Linked DNA regions of Macaca fascicularis. The protein of the gene in region 3 purifies or fractionates together with the protein of the main gene of each other region. This does not show direct contact. Links are inferred from orthologs where the notes say so. Each region holds a gene or a part of one and is shown on either strand. Other genes may lie near its edges. The genes, in order: BCKDHA, DBT, PPM1K and BCKDHB.

Region 1 (5,890 bases), on a different chromosome or scaffold from region 3:
CACACCACCATGCCAGGCTAATTTTTTTGTATTTTTAGTAGAGACAGGGTTTCACCATGTTGGCCAGGCTGGTCTCGAACTCCTGACCTCACGCAACCTGCCCACCTTGACCTCTCAAAATGCTGGGATTACAGGCGTGAACCACCGCGCCCAGCCCACTTGTGGCTACTTAAACTCATAATTGAATAATATGCCCAGACAAGGTGGCTCACGCTTGTCATCCTGCATTTTGGGAGGCTGAGGCAGGAAGATTGCCTGAGTCCAGGAGTTCGAGATCAGCCTGGACAACATGGCAAAACTCCATCTCTACAAAGATTTAAAAATTAGCTGGGCGCGGCCGGGCGCGATGGCTCATGCCTGTAATCCCAGCACTTTGGGAGGCCAAGGCGGGCAGATCATCTGAGGTCAGGAGTTCAAGACCAGCCTGGTCAACATGGTGAAACTCCATCCCTACTAAAAATACAAAAATTAACTGGGTACAGTGGTGCACGCCAGTAGTCCCAGCTACTCAGGAGGCTGAGGCAGGAGAATCACTTGAACCTGGGAGGTGGAGGTTGCAGTGAGCCAAGATTGTGCCAATGCACTCCAGCCTCGGCAACAGAGCAAGACTCCATCTCAAAAAAAAAAAAAAAAAAAAAAAAATTAAAAATCAGCCAGGCATGGTAGCATGTGCCTGTGGTCCCAGCTACTTAGGAGGCTGAGGTGGGGGGATTGCTTGAGCCCAGGAGGTTGAGGCTGCAGTGAGCCATGATCATACCACTGCACTCACTCCAGCCTAGGCAACAGAGTGAGACCTTGTCTCAAAAAAAGAAAGAAAAGGCTGGGTGCAGTGGCTCATGACTTTCAAGGCCAAGACAGGCGGATCACTTGAGGCCAGAAGTTCGAGACCAGCCTGGACAACATAGTGAAACCCCATCTCTACCAAAAATACAAAAATTAGCCAGGCGTGATAGTGCACGCCTGTAATCCCAGCTACTAGTGAGGCTGAGGCAGGAGAATTGCTTGAACCCAGTGGGCAGAGGTTGCAGTAAGCCAAGATTACGCCACTGCACTCCAGCCTGGGCAAGAGAGCGAAACTCTGTCTCAAAAAAAAGGAAAAGAAAAAGAAAAAAAAGAAAAAAGAAAAAGAAAAGAGAGAAAGAGGTACAGAAAGAAAGAGAGCAACAAAAAGAGAAGAGACAAGACGAGACAAGACAAGAAAAGAAAAAGGAGAGGGGAGGGGAGGAGGAGAGGAGAAGAGAAGGAGAGGAAAGAAAGAAGAGAGAAAGAACAGGTGGGAGAAATAAAGGGGAAAAAACAATAACTCTAAGATAATACAAATTTAAAGATATATTAAAAAATTAAAAGTAGGGACTTCTTCCCTCCCCATTCCTCACCACAAATGAAGGAGGGGAAGCAAGAGGAAAGGTAATCAGGAGATTGAGACAGGAGAGAAAGATTTAATCAGCCTTAAATGACCTTTCCCTACCCTGCCCCAGTCCTGCCCACTTCCCGCCCCAGTTGCCCAGCCAATAGGCTCCTGGGACTGAGATCAGCGGTGGAGGATATGAACTGCTCCAAAAAAAAAAAGTGAAAAGGTCTCCAGCCCAAAGGCAGGAGACTGCCCTACCCACATCTTGCTCCTGCAGCCCTTCTGCATTTACCTGTTTCAAGTGACTCCATTCCTAGATACCTACTACGTCCTACTCCCGGCCCATCCTCTTCACCCTCCTCCCGTTTGTCCCCCTACCCAGAGCTTCTTTCTACAGATTCCATCTTCTCCTCCTTATGGATTGGGGATCAGAGGATCAGACTCAACCTCACAAGATCTTTTAAGATTTTTTTCCGCAGGGCCTCACCAGTCCAGGCCTTCCCAAGGTCACCCTTTTCTTCTCCCCATCTCCAACGTCAGTTTCTGTCCTTTCCCTCTACCCTCACTATCAACAATGACCAACATTCCTATTGCCCTTATGATGTGCCAGGTCCAGTCCTTAGCATTTTACATATTAATTTTTCACAGTCCTATGAGGTGGCCACTGTTAATATTTTAGAGAGGGAAATTAGGTCCATAGATCCAGAGAGGTGCAGTCCGTTGCCCAATACACAAGTGGAAAGTGGCAGAGCAAGGACACGAACCCACCCATGTAACCACTACTCTCCTATCTGTCAAATGTAGTTCAAAGCTCTTCTGCAACCCCTTGCCTCTCCCCCTCTAAAGAGAGGCTTCCACCCAGGTTTTTTGCAGTGTAATTTTGACAGCATCCACCTGAAGGGATTGTGACCCTTTTGACAAGAAACAAAGCCTTCTCAAGTGTTTCTAAGAAATGTGGGCAAAGTGCCCTATCTGTACCTCTGTCCCTCCGTTTTTCCCCTCATTAACTCAACAAATATTAATCATCTCCTCTGTACAGTGTCCAGAACACACGAGTTCCCTGTCTTGATATTCGATCAGGAGACACAGGAACCAAACAAAATTTTTACACAATTCATTTTAAAATCAGAATTGTGGCAAAGGAGCAAAGAAATACAAGGCCCTATGCAGCCTGCGATAAGGGGACTTGCTCTCTTCTTTCTTCTTCTTGAAGAGGGATCTTTGCCCAGAAGAAAGTCTCTCCTTTATAAAGTCAGTTTCATTCTCCAAAGCCTGAGGGAAAAGGTCTCGCGGTCTTCCCCTGTCCCTCCAAGGAACCTCCCCTGAATACGAGTGGCAGTTAATAAGGAACCCCCGGCCGGGCGCGCTGGCTCACGCCTGTAATTCCAGCACTTTGGGAGGCCGAGGTGGGCGGATCACGAGGTCAGGAGATCGAGACCATCCTGGCTAACACAGTGAAACCCCGTCTCTACTAAAAATGCAAAAAAAAAAAAAAAAATTAGCCGGGGGTGGCGGCGGGCGCCTGTAGTCCCAGCTACTCGGGAGGCTGAGGCAGGAGAACGGCGTGAATCCGGGAGGCAGAGCTTGCAGTGAGCTGAGATCCGGCCACTGCACTCCAGACTCCGCCTCAAAAACTAACTAAATAAATAAATAAGGAACTCCCATCCCTCTCTTCAAGTCGTCTCCCTCCCTCAGGGCCCACAAAGAAGTTGCAAACGGGTTTTGTCCTCTCCTGAAGAAGTGGAAGTTCTTTTCTTCTAAGGAAGTGGCAGATCTTCCCTTCGGTGTCTTCTCCAAGGGGTCTCCCACTTTTTCCCTTCTGTGACAGCCCTTCCTTCATATCCTTCAGGGACCCCACACTCTGAAGATAGCCTTTACATCCCTAATCCCCTTTGGGAAAACCCCCTGGGGCCCAGGTACTCACAGATCTAGCCAATCCCCGAGCCCCAGGCCGCCACAGCAGCAAGAGGGCAGCCTGGCTCAGGCCTCGGTTTGGCCGCCAGACCCTCGCTGCAGCGATCGCTACCGCCATCTTGGCTAGCAACCACTCAGCGGTAGGGCACTCACGTAGGCTAGATTCGGGGCTGCCCCTTTATGTGCCTGACACAAACTCCAGCACCATCTGACAAGAAAATCACCTTCTTCCCATTCTGTTGTAGATAGAATGCACAGAGATTTGGAGAAGAAAACCTATCTACCCAAAATTTTCCCCAGTCGCCTCATTGTAGTTACTCCTGTAACAGGCAAAGAAGAGGGCAACCTGACCACGGCCTCAGGGATTTAGGGCCCGGGGGCCCAGAGTAAAACAGGTCACTGCCAAGGCCTGCCTCCTGTTCTCAACTGTCCAATGGCGTTGCCAGAGTTAGGAGGTGGGACTGGGCGGAGCCAGATTGTTGGTAAACGCTAAGCCACGTGCGGACGCCAGGACTGACGGCCGAGCCCAGCGCGTGCGCAATGGTTACGCAGAGTGTTCGCAGCGCGCGCTGCCGGGCGGAAGTGATAATCGCAGCCGCACGTGGGGTCGGCGCGATGGAGGAGGAGATGCATACTGACGCCAAAATCCGCGCTGAAATTGGAACAGGGTGCAGCCCTCGGGGTCCCGGCTGCAGCCTCCGGCACTTTGCCTGCGAACAGAACCTGCTGTCGCGGCCAGATGGCTCTGCTTCCTTCCTGCAAGGTAAGAACTTACCCAGGTCTTTTGGAGAGGGACTACCATGTACCGTGCAACGGAGTGCCCATCTCCCCATGATACCAGCTGGTAAATGTCACTCCTGCGTTGATACATGATTTCTTGTCCGATTGAATACTACTACATACGCAGGGATACATACATCTCTCCCTCACGACTAGAAAGGAGAAGATAGCTCCATCTTTGTAAATATGTCTGAGAATGACAGGCGGGGCAGACCGTCCCCGCAAGAATTGATATTTCAGAATAGGGAAAATCACCTCACCAGGGTAAATATCGCCCTTAACTAGGTTCCTCCTCCTCACCCCCGCCCCCGCCCGCCCCACACACACGCCCGCTAGGTCCTTGCATCCCGGACTGACGCAAACCTGTCAATTTGCATACTCTGGACTGTGGCGGATCTTTCACCCACGTAAATACTCCTCAAATTGAAGATAATGTCACTGCCCTGGGTTGAAAAATACATCCCCACCGCTACCTCACTGCATCTCTCCACAGGAGTAAATATCCCTAAGATTAGGGCAAGTCTTACCTATAGGGCAAATATCCCCTTCCCCTAGCTAAATAACTCTCAGAACCAGATTAACTCCAAGAATATTTCTCTTTAACGTTTGAGACAGGAGGCTGGGCACAGTGGCTCACGCCTGTAATCCCCACACTTTGGGAGGCCAAGGCGGGTGGATCACCTGAGGTCAGGAGTTCGAGACCAGCCTGGCCAACATGGCGAAACCCCGACTCTACTAAAAGTACAAAAATTAGCCAGGCATGGTGGTGGGCGCCTGTAATCCCAGCTACTGGGGAGGCTGAGGCAGGAGAATCTCTTGAACCCAGGAGGCAGAAGTTGCAGTGAGCCAAGATTGTGCCATTGTACTCCAGTGTGCACGACAAAACAAGATTCTGTCTCAAAAAAAAAAAAAAAAATTTTGAGACAGGGTCTCACGATGTTGCCCAGGTTGGTCTTGAACTCCTGGACTCAAGCAGTCCTCCTCCCAAAGTGCTCATATAGGTACCAGCCACCACGCCCAGCCCCAATACATTTTAACAAAATCTGGCTGCTGTGTTGATTGTGGGGAGTATGGGGGAAAACAGGGAGGTGATGGTGGCTCCAGCCAGAACAGGAGTAGTGGAGGTGATGAGATTCTGGATGTAGTTTGAAAGTAAAACGGACAAAACTTACCTATAGTTTGGTTTGAGTGCGAGGAAAAAGAGTCAGGCATAACTAAGGTTTCTGCCCAGATCTGTACAAGTCTGGAAATCAGGAGAGAGACCCAAGCTGGACATAGGCAATTTGGAACTCTCTGGCTGTATATATGGTATTTCAGCCTATTGACTGAACGAAGTCAGTGTAGATGGAAAAGAGGTCCCAGGACCAAGCCCTAGGCCTTCCAACTTGAGCAGTCAGGGACTTGTGACAAGCAAGCTAAAGGAGACTCAGAAGGAACGCCCAGAGACTTAGGGGGAAACCGGGAGAGGGTGGTGACCTGGGGCCAAGAGAAGAGCGTGTCTGAGATGTGAGGGCTGACAGCTGTTTCGGCCTTACTGACAGCCGGGTCAATGGAGGGTTGATCATTTGGAGGTCAGTGGTGACGATGTTGAGCTGCCGCAGTGGAGTGGTGGGGTCACAGGAAAGGAAGAATAGACAGCTGTTCAGGAGTTTTGCTGTAAGAGGATCAGATAAGTGGGGCAGGAATTGAAGATGGTTGTGGGGTCAACAGGGGAGAGAATTGCTGGAGCCACGTCTTGAAGAAGGTGAGAGGGGAGGGACTCTTGTGCTCAGGTGAAACACAGGCAGTTCATCTGGAGCCAGAGGCGAGTTCTATTTTGGTTTCTCCAGTCCTCAGGGCAGTTTT
Region 2 (4,569 bases), on a different chromosome or scaffold from region 3:
CATTGAACTTAAACCGGGAAGAAAATACAAATGTTCTTTGTTGGAGAAATTATAAAATCTTGCAATTGCAACAAACAGCCTCACAGTTTAGTAGTATCTTGTGTATTTGCCTTCCACTCCTTACTCTACTGCTACCTCAGCTTCCTCTCTATCCACGTCATTAAAGAACTCTCTTAGAAAAATTCATAATTTAACATGAACTGAGGTGGGATGGGGTGGGAAGGCAATGCCTCACTTTACATAGTTCATTTCCTTTTTAATCTGCCCAGAAAAAATTTCTCCCAGATTCCCATTCTCGATTCATGTAGTTGAATGAGGATGGCTGACTCCTAGGCTCCAAAGGTGACCATAAGACTCAAGTGTGGACAGAGTATTCTATTCTCCTGCCCACAATGACAGGCACATGAACCAAGAAAGACAAATCAAAAGCTGTCCTGGATATGTGTGTGTGTGTGTATGTGTGTGTGCGTGCCTGTGTGTATGTGTGTGTGTATATATATACATATATATATATATATAGAGAGAGAGAGAGAGAGAGAGAGTCTTGCTCCGTTGCCCAGGCTGGAGTGCAATGGCACAATCTCAGCTCATGGTATGGTAGATGTTTAATGTTTGAATGTATAATAAATGCATACAATGGAATACTATGCAGGCATTTATTTATTTATTTATTTTGAGACAGAGTCTCGCTCTATCATCCAGGCTGGAGTGCAGTGGCGCGATCTTGGCTCACTGCAACCTCCGCCTCTGGTTCAAGCAATTCTCCTGCCTCAGCCTCCTGAGTAGCTGGGACTACAGGTGCCCGCCACCATGCCTGGCTGATTTTTGTATTTTCAATAGAGATGAGGTTTCACCATATTGGCCAGGCTGGTCTCGAACTCCTGACCTTGTGATCCACCTGCCTTGGCCTCCCAAAGTGGTAGGATTACAGGCGTGAGCCACCACACCCAGCCTATGCAGCCATTTAAAGCATGATAATGTGGAATTGTTTATTGACATGTAAGGTTACCCATAATATAATGTTATATTTTAAAAATCAAATAATAAAATAGTAGCTATACTATGATCCTGTTTTAATAAAAAAGAATAGCCATATATACAGATACATACATCAAAATGTTAATAGTGGTAAGATTATGAATGATTTTTTATTTTATTGGTTAACTCTTTGTATTATCTGAAATTTTACAATAACAGCATTTATTTGACCTATTTTTTTTTTTTTTTAAGAGACCAGGTCTCACTCTGTCACCCACACCGGAGGATAGTGGCACAATGACAGCTCACTACAGCTTTGAACTCCTGGGCTCAATTGATCCTCCTGTCTCAGCTTCCTGAGTAGCTGGGACTACAGATGCAAACCACCACACATGGCTAAGTTTTTTTTTTTTTGGAGACAAAGTGCTGCTCTGTTGCCCAGTCTGGAGTGCAGTGGTGTGATCTCTGCTCACTGTAACCTCCACCTGTCGGGCTCAAGCAATTCTCCTGCCTCAGCCTCCCAAGTAGCTGGGACTACAGGCGTGCGCCGCAAGGCCCAGGTAATTTTTTGTATTTTTACAAAACTGTAGAGACGGGATTTCACCATGTTGGCCAGGGTGGTCTTGAACTCCAGATCTCAGGTGATCTGCCCGCCTTGGCCTCCCAAAGTGCTGGAATTACAGGCGTGAGCCACCAGGCTAATTTAAAAAAAAATTTTTTTGAGATGGGATCTCACTATGTTGCCCAGGCTGGTCTCAAATTCCTGGCCTCAAGTGATCCTCCTGCTTTGGCCTCTCCTATAACTGGGATTACAATTACAAGTCATCACACCTGGCTGATGTATTCTTTCCTGATTTAAAAATTATTTCCATTTTGAGAAAAACCAAGTAGATACTAAAACAACCTTTTTTCTGTCACAAAACTTCACTTAAACAACTAATTTTGGCATACAGTTTTCAACTGGACAATATTAGAAACAACATGGATTTCCGAATGCAAATGGAAATGTTGGATACATTAATCTTGATGCTATTTCTGATTAAAGTAGACCTTTAGCAAAATGATCATTATCAAACCTTCATTTCTATATAAAATTTCGTATTTTTTATATCCATAATTACTATTAGATTCTTCCTTCTCCTCTTATTTACATTCTTACCCAGGATATGAAGAATGGAATAGACCTTAATTTCTTATCCTATTTTTTAGCTAAAAGTTAAAAGGAAGTAGATTTCTGAAATTAAAAAAAAAAAAAAAAAGAAAAGTCAGTGGCTGCTACCTTTAAAGTACCTTCCTTACATGAGGGAAGTTTGCAAAGGTGAAGGTCTTTCCCAAGAAAATACCAAACCATTACCAAAAATCTAAAAGTATATCCATTTTAAACGAACACCTTTAATAGACTGGTTATAAAACTATAATTGGACATTTTTAAGGCCAGTTTATACTTTTCCCTTTTCAAAGACATTAATTAATATAAATAAGACATTTACAGATGATGTTCTCTATACAGAGCAAGAATATACTCTTGGATATCTCCAAAGAGAAGTATAATTGCACTTATTTTATACAACAATTAGCATAACAGGGAAATGGGAAATATTTTTGCATATAAATTCCATTTCTTAAGTATAATTAAAAAGTGTCATTAAGAATCAGTTAAAAAAAATAGGGCATATACTGTCTGTATATGGCTACCTGTCTTTTAGTAACATTAATTTTGTTTTTTTTGTTTTTGAGACAGAGTCTTGCTCTGTTGCCCAGGATGAAGTGTAATGGCACGATCTCAGCTCACTGCAACCTCCACCTCCCAGGTTCAAGCGATTCTCCTGCCTCAGCCTCCCGAGTAGCTGGGATTATAGGCACCCACCACCATACCTGGCTAATTTTTATATTTTTAGTAGAGGCGGGGTTTCACCATGTTGGCCAGGCTGGTCTCGAACTCCTAACCTCAGGTGATCTGCCCACCTCGGCCTCCCAAAGTGCCGGGATTACAGGCGTGAGCCACCACGCCCTGCCTAATTTTGTTAATCTTGCCAGTTTCAAGTCATTGACACAAAAATGTCAGCACCGTATTAAGAAGTCACACTCTGACCTATAAAATGTGACAGCCCCAGGAGAACTATTACCCCATTATTCATTTTCAGTAAAAAGTCTAATAGAACAGTGACAAATATTGTACCTTAGATCCTTAATCATACGATACAAATCATTTACAATACAAATTGTAAAGATGAACATGTGCTGGCACAGCTAGGGTTTACATACTCTTTGGAAGCTCAAAAAGTTCAAGAATGTCTTATCGGTCTTCATTTCAGATCTAGTAGCATAAAAGCCGGGTTTTCTAAGTAGGATTTCCACAAATTAGAGAAGCGTGACATTGTAGCACCATCAATAACTCTGTGATCAGCTGACCAGCTCACATTCACTATCTGTGCCTTATATACTTCTCCTTTCTGGTTAAATCGGGGAATGGCCTAGAAATGAAAAATAGAAAAAAAAAAAAAAAACAAAGAGTAAACCCTCACTTGCTCAAAGCTCAAGCTCTAACAATGGTGTAAGATCAAGCAAACCCTTCTTCCTACAGTAGAGAAAAAAATGGGCATCCCCAATGACTTTTGAAAATGCTGACTCCTATTCTTCCCATCTTCGAGTATGTGCCTGGAGCTTTCAGAAGTTCTCCAAGGTACTTCCTATCCCTTGTACAATTCCTGTACCTACATTCATTAACTTTCATCTCAGATTTTAAATATTTAATAATTTTTTACTGTATACCCACTATGTGCCAAGTACTCTTCTGGGCTCTGGGGAGAGACAGACAATTAAATAAGGCTTCCTCACTGAAGGCAGTGAGGAAACAAGCCATTCTCAAGCTCCCCTGACCACTGAGTTGGCCAGGAAGAAGACAGAGGACAACAACATGCTTGTGTTCTTCGTGGATGTTAAAGCCAGTAAGCACCAGATCAAACACGCTGTGAAGAAGCTCTATGACACTGATGGGGCCAAGGTCAACACTGTGGTCAGGCCTGATGGAGAGAGGAAGGCATATATTCTGTTGGCTCCTGATTACAATGCTTTGGATGTTGCCAACAAAATTGGGATCACCTAAAATGAGCCCAGCTGGCTAATTCTAAATATGTATCTTTTCACTGTTAAAAAAAAAAAAAGGATAGACAAAATATAAGCCCCAACTGATTATTAGATTCAATAGACATAAAATCATGCTGTCAAACTGCTATAAAAGTTTCTAAGCCCTACTCTGTTTTTCTATACTGATCTCCTCATGGCTGGGATACAACAGTCACAGCCAGATGTGGATCCCTGATGACACTAAGTAGCATCTGTGTAAAGCCATGTAGGCCACTGCAACTACTTGTCTTTGATTCTGAATGAGATGAGAAGCCCTTAGAAGTGTCTGAGCAGATTGGCCATTCACTGAAAGAGGACGACTTTAGGAGGAGCAGGTCTGATGGGGGGCGGGGGGGGGGCAGTGGGGAAACGAGCAGGAGCTCAGTTTTAGACATGCTAAAATTCAAGATGCCTTTACACATCCAAGCAAGATATAAGAGTTTAAAGCTCAAAAGTGAGGTCCGG
Region 3 (5,136 bases):
TTACGTCAGACAAACAATGCTGCTTCAGTAGGACTGAGGGGCGCGTCTCTCTTTTATACCTAAAATCTCAACATTAGTGATTCACTTCTATGGTTTAACTAAGCCTTTTTCAGGTGTCTGCTAATTAAAATTCAAATCCACCAGGAGTGACAGCTCATTAAAATGCATACATTTTATTAATAATTTGATTAAATCAGCTATATGATAATCAAAGAAAAAATTACAGTGACTTCAGTGAGAAAGAGTAGGCAGTGGAGATCTCAGTTCAATCCAAATAATTATTGAGTACCTGCCAGGTTCTATGCAGGGTGCTGCATACTGGAGATTCAAAAATGAATAAGCCACAGTCCTTCACCTCACAGGAAGGGTTCAAGAGGAGGGGAAAGGGGTTAATACTAAAAGAGAAAAGATGAAAGAAACTGGAGAGGGTAAACTGCACTTACTACAAAATTTTGTTTCACTGGCACTGGTCCTATCTATATACATAGGCTGAAAAGAATATTATCCACTCTTATAATACTGATACTGCTTCAGTTCTTGCTAAAAACCAAAGTTTTAAACTTAAATAATAACTTTGAAATATAAAATGACATTTAAAAATATCCACAAATTGAACAGTTACACAACATATGGCATTCTATCTTTAATGGCTTTAATGTATTTGATAAAACAGGCCCTAAATATCAAAAGACAATTTTTGCCATCTTTGAAGGCTTTGGCAACTTATTAAGAATAAAATTTTTAAATGTTCTCAAAACACTAATTTTTAAAAAACACAGACCAATAAGAATATATACAAAATAAGATTTAATAACAAAATAAAATTTTAATAACAATTTAACAAAATAAGATTTAATAACAATATTATAATAGACTTTTTCTTGTAGTACACACTAAGAGCACCATCCTGTCTTGCTCCATTATACTTTCAAACAAATTACCATTATAAGAAAAATCCATTTTAAAATATCTTAAGAATGTTCTGGGATCACTACCTCAAAGCATATGACAGAGGAATTAAATTAAATAATGCATTTTAATTTCTTTATTACAAATGAATTAATTTTATTAAGAATAAAAAATATGGAATGCTTCCTGCACTTGTGTGCCATCCTTACACAAGGACCATGCTGATCTCTGTATCATTCCAATTTTAGTGTATGTGCTGCTAAAGTCAGCATATGAATTACATTTTTGTGATTAATTTCTTTACACGGCTGTTTAATTGTTTTTGTGACAAAGGTATCTTTAGAAAGTTTATTTTAAGATAGGCAAGTTAATAAAATTTTTTAAGTTCAAAATTCTATTGAGTTATACTTTATTCAATAATAAAAGGAGTCCTGTCATATTTTACATCAAGTCAATCACTGTTTGGTTTAAGCATCTACATTGACTAGATACTTTTAAAAAAGGCTGATGGCACCAAGAAGGTCAGTGTTTTTGGTTGGTGGTCACATGCCTGGGATAAATTTGGACATTCTTATCCAAAAACCTTGCCGAGTAAGCTGCAGCTATTTACAGAACAGCTGGGGCACACCACTGGCACTACAGTCAATAAACATTGTGGGGTAAGACATAGCCAGACTCACAGTCAACTTGGTTAATATGAAATAAGAGAGTACCAAAATTCAGGAAGTAATAAAAATAAAACTGTAAGAAAACATTCTATTTCCTCTTCTCCTTCATGTGTTTTAACTATTTGGAACAAGAGCTAAATCTTATGCATAAAGTTTACCTCTTTCAACTTCTGTCTTCTTAAAGGTAAGGATCCAGTTGAAAGAAAAAAAAAATTCCAAAGGAATGAGAGAAAAGAAAATGGGCCTAAATAATCTACAAAATGGAAAACATATCCCTGAACAGAGTGGACTGTAATGCTTTCCTGAGGACTGTGATAGTAAGGTTCTCAAAAAAACCTCAGGAAAAATCTCAAGATGGCAAATAGAGCCATCCCAGAGTTACTTTCTCCTTTCCTCATGAGAGGAGAGAGAGAATGCTGGTTGTCAGGAAAATCTCAGCCCTAACTCTGAACTGACCTTGACCATTCTAATCTTCAGTTCCTTCACTATGAAATGCAGAGAATCTCTATCCTTATGTATTCCAACTGAAGACTGTGAAAATGACATTTCTGTGGTGCATGTGGTTTTTTGTTTTTTGTGTTTTTTTAGAAAAGGATGAACCAAATATAGATCAAGATTACTGCATGATTCATTTTCAAATCATTTACAAGGTTACATGCACACATTGATTTCGCTGGTACAGAAATTTTCAGGGCTAACTTTAACAGCAAAAGATTTGAGGCTAGCTAACTAGAAAACATTTGCTGTATTTTCCTGAAATTGTTTTGATAAATTTAGGCAAAACCAGAAACATTTCACTTTCAAAATTTAAGGACATGCAGTATACACAAAATTTTAAATTCAGCTAGCATGCCCTTATGCTGAAAATATCACTAGTTACCAGAGGAAAGCTGCAAGATTGAGCTTTTCAAGAAGTGACAGAAAAATATTTTCCTTCTAATCATCCAAATTAGTGCATATTAACCATTGTCTTTTTCTATTTAGGACCTATTTGCAATTTTCTTCTTGTTGGACAATGACTATCCTAGCTAAATGTGATTACCCTGTAGTGTATTTCAGCACTTGGTCACCAGATCCATCTAAAAAAAACAAAAACCCAAAACAAAACTCATAGTATGGGCATTTTGTCCATAAAATGAGCAAACAGATTAAACATTTTTTAAATCTTTTAAAAACTAAAGTACAACATCAGAACTGTTTTGGGGCTTCTCTTTCTGAAGAACTCTCCAATATATTTCATTTAAAAGTGAGGTATTAACATTAATTTGGATTCCCAATGGCATTTAATGTGAATCTTCATATAAACTCATTTCTATATAAATCCTTACAAACAATTGTACATTAAAATCCCCTCCCCCAAAGGACTTAAATTGTTGCCTTTTTACTCCTCCCCCACCCTACATACTCCCTAGGACCCAAGGAATGTGACAGTTTTACATACCATCAGCAGACAGGCGGGCATGACTCGAAAAGGCTTTATCTATTTCTAGAAAAGCCAGGATCAACACAGTTTCCAAGTTCTTCTCCTTAGGAAGCAAATCGCTTTGTGGGGAGGAAAAAAAAGAGCCTCAAATAATCATTTTACAATAGGTTTCTCTCCTCACTGTTACTCTAGCTAGCAGTCATTCCACACAATGGGCCTCATGATTTTCCAGTCAAATGCTGAAGACTTACTGGCTAAGGAATACTTATTGAGAATCCACTAAGTATCAGGCACTGTGATAAGCTTTTAAGGGCACAAAAATCAAAGTCCAAGTCCTTGTCCTTGAAGAATTAATCCTTACTACCACAACTCTGAGAGGTCAAGAGTTCCTTCCTATTATGAGTTCTTTCGTGGAATGAGGTATACACAGGAAGTCAAGAAATGGTCACTGGGAAGTCAAATATAGTCACACGGTCATAACTCCATCACATGTTCTCCCTCTTTCGATTTTAGCAGTAATGTGATCCTCAAAAATGCATTAATAATAGTTGAAGTAAATAAACTGAAGAGCTCCAAAATGCCTGCATTAAATGCATTTTTTCCACACTAATGCCAATCATCCAAAGCTATTTTCAACAAGTCAAGTATTCAAAGCTATTCACACCACTTGAAAGAGTAATTACCATTCACTGAAGCACTTAGACATCCTACACTGATGGGAGTAAATGCTTCTCATAGGTTATCTCATGTACATTATGCCACTTCACTTAAAATAATCACAAATTAAGTGCTATAAATTTTGGTTAATGCTTTCCCCAGGGGAGTTGTTAAAACATGCATTTCTGAAATTGTGATAACCATAAGAAATAAATGGCACACTTAACTACTGCTCATTCATGAAGCAGCAGCATGCAATCACTCAAGTAACTATGTTTACCCTGGAAGCCTCAGTCAAAGGGTGAAAGTTTAAGTAGGAAGCATGGGGGAACTGCAAAGTCAGGAGTTAAAGTCATTGTACATACATAATACATTTCTCCATGTGGGTATGACAGAAATCAGCTGCTGCAGGTCCACCGTGTCCATCATACACTGCAAAGTACAGGACCTCATCTGTCAGCTGAGCGAAGTCAAATCGATCTTCATTCTCTTTCCGTTTGCCAATCTGTGAGGCGCACCCCACATTTTCCAAGCTGATTTTGGGAATTGGCTTGCCATACTTAATGCTGGGTGGCAGCAGAATTGGCTCATCAATGCGGTTATCCCAGATCCCAAAATTGTCCCAGGTAGCTGGACTCCCACTGCCGTCTGGGTCAAACCGAGAACACCTAGGCTCTGAAGTGGAGCTGTGGCACGTGGGTGTCACCCGCCTGTCGTCCTGCAGCAGGCGGGAGCTTAGCAGCACTCTCCTTCTCACCTGGTTCCCACCACTTCTGACCAAAGTAATTAAGGCAGCTGTTGACATAACTCAGCTCCAAAGGACTCAGTGATGAGGGAAAGGTCAATGGAACAATAATGGAATGTCTTCAAGAAAAATGATGCAAGTTGCAGGGGACAGAGGGAGAGAGGGGGAGAGGAGGAGAAGAAAAGGGGGAGGGAGAGAGAGAGACCATCAGAAATTTTGAATATAACTGATATGTCATCAAATATTACCAAAAATGAAGGTCATAAAGGATTTGACAGAAAATACATATATTTATGTTCTATATTGGGTAGGCATCCAATAGCCTACTTCTAAGAACAGTGGATCAAAAATGAATCAATTTTCCTACCCCATTCACAGCATTTAAATTCTATTAAAATTAGATGGTGTGCACGTATACAGAACATGTGTCTCTTAAACTTGAACCTGCAATCACTTGTTAAAATGTAGGTTCTGACCCAGTGGCTATGAGGTGGAGTCATTCTGCATTTCTAACTAATACCCTGGTGATACGGAAGCTGCTTGTCTGCAAGTTACACTTCCAGTAGCAAGGACACAGAATTTAGGTATAAATAAATATACTTCCCTTCATTAACTCTATTGCTTTCAAGAAAAGGTAGGGGTGAATATTAACAATAGCAACAAAGTCTCTTCAGGAAAAAATAACAGGCTAACAGAATACTTAAAATAGTTCTGTTTCCAAAGAATGGCCAAGT
Region 4 (5,716 bases), on a different chromosome or scaffold from region 3:
GGACAGTTTCTCAAATTGAGTAAATGTGGCCAGGGCTAGGGGAACGGAGGAAAGTTCCATTCTAATAACATAGATATTTTCATGGTTACCAGGCAAATGGTGTGGTAGACATGGGGGAAATTAAAAAAATTAGTTTGCAAAGCAGATGAATCTGGCAAGTGCCCTCTTTGTTGTTCTTGGCTGCATATAGTTGAAATTTCAAACCTCTTAGACCAGCATACAAAGGCCTTCAAAATCTCCCTTTAATCTGTTTTTCCTACTTTTTCTGTTAACCCTGTCTCATTCCCTATACCCTGAATCTAGAAGGACCAAGCTACTTTCTCTTCCTGGAATGCACTGGGCTCTTCGTGCCTATCAGCCTTTGTACAAGTTTCTTCTTAGTTTGGAATGCCTTTTTCTCCCTAGTCTGGCTGGTAACTTCTAGTTATCTTTTAGGTCTAGCTCAGAGTTATATCTGGAAACACTTGACTTTCAAAGAATAATTTATTGCTTTTTTTGTGTTTCACTTTGTTGGCACTATTCTAGGACCCCTATCACATTGGATTGTAGTTGTCTAATCTGTCTCTTTTCTCTACCAACTTGAACATTTTAGAAGTAAAACTATGCCTTGATCGTATTTGTCTCAATGGTGGCTTGTCTTTGGGTTGTACATAGCAGAGGTTCAATAAAATTCTCATCAGTTATTATTTTTCCCTTTTTCTCCCCGACCTAAGTAATCTCAGTACCCCCAGCTCCCTAAATTATCAACAAATAGAAAAAAAGCTCTATTCGTTTTTATCCTTGTTCTTTACTCTCTTTAGTTTAAACCCAAATTTGACTATGTAAATGTAATTTCATTTTGTTACCCCTTTCCTTCATTAAAACAAAAATACCCTTCATGCACATGCAAAACACTCTATCCGACACTGTTAAAAGAGCAGAAATGAACACCAACAAAAGCCAAGATGAAAAATTTCCCCAATGTTGAATTTTTGGACTTAGCGTGGGAGTAGGAAAATGGAGACATAATTCTGGTTCTCCCTTTGGCAGTTTTCAATTGCTGTTTCTCAGTCTCAGTCAGAAAACACATCTCTCTGCCTTTCATTTCACCCCATTTCTACTTTCTCCTCCTTTGCCCCTATGCAAAACCAAAGATGGGTTGAGAGGCCAGGCATAATGGAAGAGGAACGTTCTTTTCTTCCACTCCTGCTTCATTCTCTCCCCCTTTCTTCTTCAAATTCTGTTTTGGGCCCATCCTTCCTCACCCTTCCAATTTCATCTGATGGACACGCTGTCACTGTTGTCTCTTGTCATATTTGATTTTATGATATTTCATGATTTTTTTTTTTTGGTAAATTCATGGACAGAGAATGTATCCTGGTAAACACTTAGATTAAAACAAATTTACACAGTTGATTACTATAAATGAAAATTAGTGACTCAAATTCTCCAGGTTTCTAAGCTGCTTAGACTAAGCCAATCAGGTAATTTTCGCTACTTCTGGGCAAAATGTATCTGAATCTATTCAGTGGATTTGCAGGACGAAATCTAAGTTTACCTCTTTCATCTCTCATTTAAATGCGGAAAAACAAAATTAATAAAAATCGATATATGCTTATTAAGCATTTTAAGGAGGATGTGAATAAGGAGCGGAGGCTTTGAGCAGTGACTACAGCAGTCAAAACCAATAACCAATGCCAATCAGTAGCTCTTTTCACCTCTCACACAATAATAGAGACAGGAGAGGATAAAAAAGGGTGACATTAAAAAAAGTATGGATGTTAAAATGAAAAAAAACATTGGAAATGGCACTGTAAATGACACCGCAAAAGATCGCCTCCAGGCACTGTGTGGAGCTTCGCAGACTCGGGTACTCACCCGAGGGCCGCAGGACGGACCTCGGGGAGGCTCCGCCCCAGAAACTATTTCATGGGCGCCCCCACCGCCCAACACTTCCCCTCTTCCGCATGCGCACAAGGAGCAGGAGCCGGTCAGCTCGTCACGTCGCCTTCCCCGCCCCTAAATTTCCAGTTCCGATTGGTCCGTTTCATGGGACCGCCCCTCTGGCCCGACCATTGTGAAAGCCTCCTCGGGTGCTCCGCCCTCCCCGCGGGCTGCGTGCGGCATCGCCTGCGAACCCTGGCGGTGAGCGGGGATGGCGGTTGTGGCGGCGGCTGCAGGCTGGCTGCTCAGGCTTAGGGCGGCAGGGGCTGAGGGGCACTGGCGTCGGTTCTGTGGCGTGGGGCTGGCGCGGGGATTTCTGCACCCCTCCGCGACTGTCGAGGATGCGGCCCAGAGGCGGCAGGTGGCTCATTTTACTTTCCAGCCAGATCCGGAGCCCCGAGAGTACGGTGAGCCAGGGACTGCCCACTCGGTCCCGCTGTAGCCCGGACTCCCAGGCTCGCAGGCGCCCGCGAGGGGCAGGGGCCGGCAGGCTGCAATCCTTGCATCCTAGCTTATTAACTGCCTTACCCTCTGGAACCTCCTTGCCCCAGGGTCTAACTGTGATTCACTTCTTGCTCTATTTTTGTGAGTGTTCCGCTCCAGAGACGCAGTCCCCCCTCCCTCGCACCTTTGTGATGGGTGAGAGGGCATACTGCCACCTGGAAGGGCCTGAGGGTGGAGGGGTGGTGCCCAGGGAACGCCCCCCCTTTCTCTCTCCTCCATCCTTACTTTCTCAACCTAGACCTTAGGTGTTGTTCCAGCCTGCCCGGGACTGGGTCACTAGCTTAGGTAGAGACATTAAAAAAAAAAAAAAAAAAAAAAAAATATATATATATATATATATATATATATATATATATAATCAATTCTATTACTCAGTTCCTTGGTTTCTTCTTACCTACAGAAATGTGTGTGTGTGTGTGTGTGTGTGTATATGTCCCTTGGTTTCTTCTTACCTAGAGAAATACATATATATATATCCCTTGGTTTCTTCTTACCTATAGAATTTCTGCAGGTAAGAAGAAACCAGGGGACTGAGTAATTGAATTGATTTTCCCAAGGTCACAGAACAGGTTCTTCCTAGAGATCCAGACTTTCTACTTAAGCTTAGTACTGAGCTTGTCCTGGGCTATGCTGCCACTTAGCCAAGGAGGTGAAGGTGATAGGAGGAGGAAGCCATAGGAAGGGTATGTAGCAAACTCCTCATAGTATGACTATTGCATGATTTTTACCATTTCTGCAAGTTTCATGTAATGTCTCTTATCAGAATATCAGATCCAGTGTCTCTCATCAGAATATCAGGAAACTAGGTAAACATGTATTGCTTCCTTGTCTAATAACTTCTCACGTGCATGCTAGAGCTGACATTTTTGGAAGTGTGTCTTTTCTTGTGGATAAGAATGAACATTTATTGAGTGCTTACCAGGGTCAGGCACTGTGTGTATGTTTCATCCTCTCATTTAAGGGTTAGGACAACCTTAAAAGGTTGGTAAAGTTTTTATTCCCATTTTGCAGTTAGATTAATGGAAGTCTTGAGACAGTTTGTCCAAGATTACACGGATAAATTAGTGGTAGCTCCAGAGCTCCAGCTTTGGAATCTAATTGATCAGATTCCAGAGCTTCCATTCTAAACAATGTACTAAGATGCATGTAGATATAATTTACTAGGAGGGTGTCCCAGTATTGTGAAACAGTAGGTACCATAAAGGTTAATAGTAGGTTTTTTTTTTTCCACCACCAAGATGAGCCCTCAATTCTGTCTTGAAAGCAAAGAATAATCCACCTTTCCATAGTTGTAAATTTACTAAAATCTAAGTAAAATGATATCATGTTATCGTGATATATATCATGATATATATAAACTTGTTCTTATTTTAAAAATAATACAAACATATTACAGGTAATTTGGATAATGGAGAAAAAGTAAAAAAAAAAAAAAAAAAAAAATCTGCTGGGCGCAGTGGCTCACGTCTGTAATCCCAGCACTTTGGGAGGCCGAGGTGGGTGGATCACCAGGTCAAGAGATCGAAGCCATCCTGGCCAACATGGTGAAACCCTGCCTCTACTAAAGATAAAAAAATTAGCTGGGCGTGACAGCGCACGCCTGTAGTCCCAGCTACTTGGGAGGCTGAAGGAGGAGAATCGCTTGAACCCGGGAGGCGGAGGTTGCAGTGAGCTGATATCGTGCCACTGCACTCCAACCTGGCGACAGAGCAAGACTCCGTCTCAAGAAAACCCCAAAAACCAACCAACCAAACAAAAATCGCCATCCACTACTAACATTTTGGGTGTATCCTTACAGGTATTTCCTTTTAGTTTAGTATTTTCCGTACTTTTAGTTTTAATACAAATACAACTTATTTAGTCAGAAGGATAATCCTATCATTCTCTGGAGTTTTTATAACCTTCTTGAGAATTTAGAAGAAATGTTCCATGGAGTAGAGATGCTACAAGTCTTTTACAAGTTAAATTCTTGACTTCGGAATCAGATTGTCCTAAAGTTGATCTTGTCTTGGCTATCTATAACTTTGGAGTTATCACTTATCTTCTATAAGCCTCAGTTTCTTTATATGTAAGGGGTTAATAATAATACCTACTTCAGAAGGTTGTTCTGAGAGCTACATAAAACAATGTCTATAATATACTTAACACTGTTTGACAACTGAGAGTCAAGCATTCACTCAATAAGTGGAACCTTTAATTACCATTATGTTTTTGTTGCTAAAGTTTTGCAGTTTTATAAATAATGCAGATATAAGCATTTAATGCGTATGGGTTTTATGTATCTGAGATGATTTCTTTAGGATAGAGTCCTGAATGCTTTAGTGGATTTTAAGTGCATAGTTCAAATTTATACACTAGTTCATACCCCATAACATGTATAATAGTGTGAGTATTGGATATTAATGCTAAAATTAGGTGTGTTCATGTACACTTTTGGATATTTTGTGCTACCTGTACTTTGTTTTAATTTTTGTTTCATTTCCGTTGAGGAATATTTTCCCATGTTTTTGTTAACGTGATTTATTTTTACTTAAGAATTGAGTATTAGATGTGTTTACATATTTTTAAAAGTATACTCAGTATTTTTCCTATCAATACTATCTACCATTATTGCATAGTTGCTCTTTTCCAGGTGTTGTGTTAGACATCAGTTTATAATCCTCACAGTAACCTTGTGAGCTAGACAATATTATGCTCATTTTAAAGATGAGAAAATTGAGGCTCAGAAATGTTGGTACTTGCCCGAGTCTGGTAAGTAGCAGAGCCAGAGTTTGCATCCTGAGGTGTCTGACTCCAAAGTCTTCCATACTACTTATATACTAAGATTTTTGTCTATTAAAAAATATTGAAGAAGATACTAACTTTCTGCTTTTCACGTGTGCTGCAAATACTTTTCATTCTTTTATTTTGGTTGTTTTGACATATAAAAGGTACTGCTGAAACAGGAGGTGGTCAGATTAGACTCTGAGTTGGTGACACTTACGCTGCTTTATGCTGGCATGTTTGCTCCCTTTATTACACTGTGTTGTTCTCCGAGAACAGTTCATCTTGGCTTCTCCATGCCCCTGATTCTTGGGCATTGTATGGATGTGAGTTTGTTTATTCAGTCATTCTATGCATTTTTATTTTCTCCTGGTTGCCATACTCTCTGCTAGCTGTTAAGGATGTGATCATGGACCTGTCAGAGGGTAATCTGAACCTTCTTTTTGGACACCTTGTATCCCCTGTCTGCCAGGAAATTCAAATTTTTTGTAGTATTTTCATCCAGGGTTGAGCTACACATAAGAAG

Evidence for each region.
Region 1: the proteins of PPM1K (region 3) and BCKDHA purify together in Homo sapiens (affinity purification with mass spectrometry; 4 studies listed by BioGRID and IntAct, counting the BioPlex papers as one, with this or other methods). This does not show direct contact. The link is inferred for Macaca fascicularis from reciprocal best matches to the Homo sapiens genes PPM1K and BCKDHA.
Region 2: the proteins of PPM1K (region 3) and DBT purify together in Homo sapiens (affinity purification with mass spectrometry; 4 studies listed by BioGRID and IntAct, counting the BioPlex papers as one, with this or other methods). This does not show direct contact. The link is inferred for Macaca fascicularis from reciprocal best matches to the Homo sapiens genes PPM1K and DBT.
Region 4: the proteins of PPM1K (region 3) and BCKDHB purify together in Homo sapiens (affinity purification with mass spectrometry; 3 studies listed by BioGRID and IntAct, counting the BioPlex papers as one, with this or other methods). This does not show direct contact. The link is inferred for Macaca fascicularis from reciprocal best matches to the Homo sapiens genes PPM1K and BCKDHB.

Annotation. Positions count from the first base shown.
Region 1 is NC_088393.1:48,538,709-48,544,598, reverse strand, and holds the start of BCKDHA (2-oxoisovalerate dehydrogenase subunit alpha, mitochondrial), read right to left. Parts: upstream 3,398-5,890; 5' UTR 3,384-3,397; coding exon 3,276-3,383; intron 1-3,275. Other genes in the region: EXOSC5 (exosome complex component RRP46), read left to right, coding at 3,881-4,028. UniProt on the Homo sapiens protein: Together with BCKDHB forms the heterotetrameric E1 subunit of the mitochondrial branched-chain alpha-ketoacid dehydrogenase (BCKD) complex.
Region 2 is NC_088375.1:134,203,985-134,208,553, reverse strand, and holds the end of DBT (lipoamide acyltransferase component of branched-chain alpha-keto acid dehydrogenase complex, mitochondrial), read right to left. Parts: intron 3,453-4,569; coding exon 3,285-3,452; 3' UTR 1,053-3,284; downstream 1-1,052. UniProt on the Homo sapiens protein: The branched-chain alpha-keto dehydrogenase complex catalyzes the overall conversion of alpha-keto acids to acyl-CoA and CO(2).
Region 3 is NC_088379.1:93,823,526-93,828,661, forward strand, and holds part of PPM1K (protein phosphatase Mn(2+)-dependent 1K), read right to left. Parts: intron 4,522-5,136; 5' UTR 4,463-4,521; coding exon 4,023-4,462; intron 3,120-4,022; coding exon 3,019-3,119; intron 2,657-3,018; coding exon of another isoform or gene 2,616-2,656; exon of another isoform or gene 807-2,615; intron 396-806; exon of another isoform or gene 290-395; intron 1-289. UniProt on the Homo sapiens protein: Serine/threonine-protein phosphatase component of macronutrients metabolism.
Region 4 is NC_088378.1:95,038,143-95,043,858, reverse strand, and holds the start of BCKDHB (2-oxoisovalerate dehydrogenase subunit beta, mitochondrial), read left to right. Parts: upstream 1-2,123; 5' UTR 2,124-2,134; coding exon 2,135-2,330; intron 2,331-5,716. UniProt on the Homo sapiens protein: Together with BCKDHA forms the heterotetrameric E1 subunit of the mitochondrial branched-chain alpha-ketoacid dehydrogenase (BCKD) complex.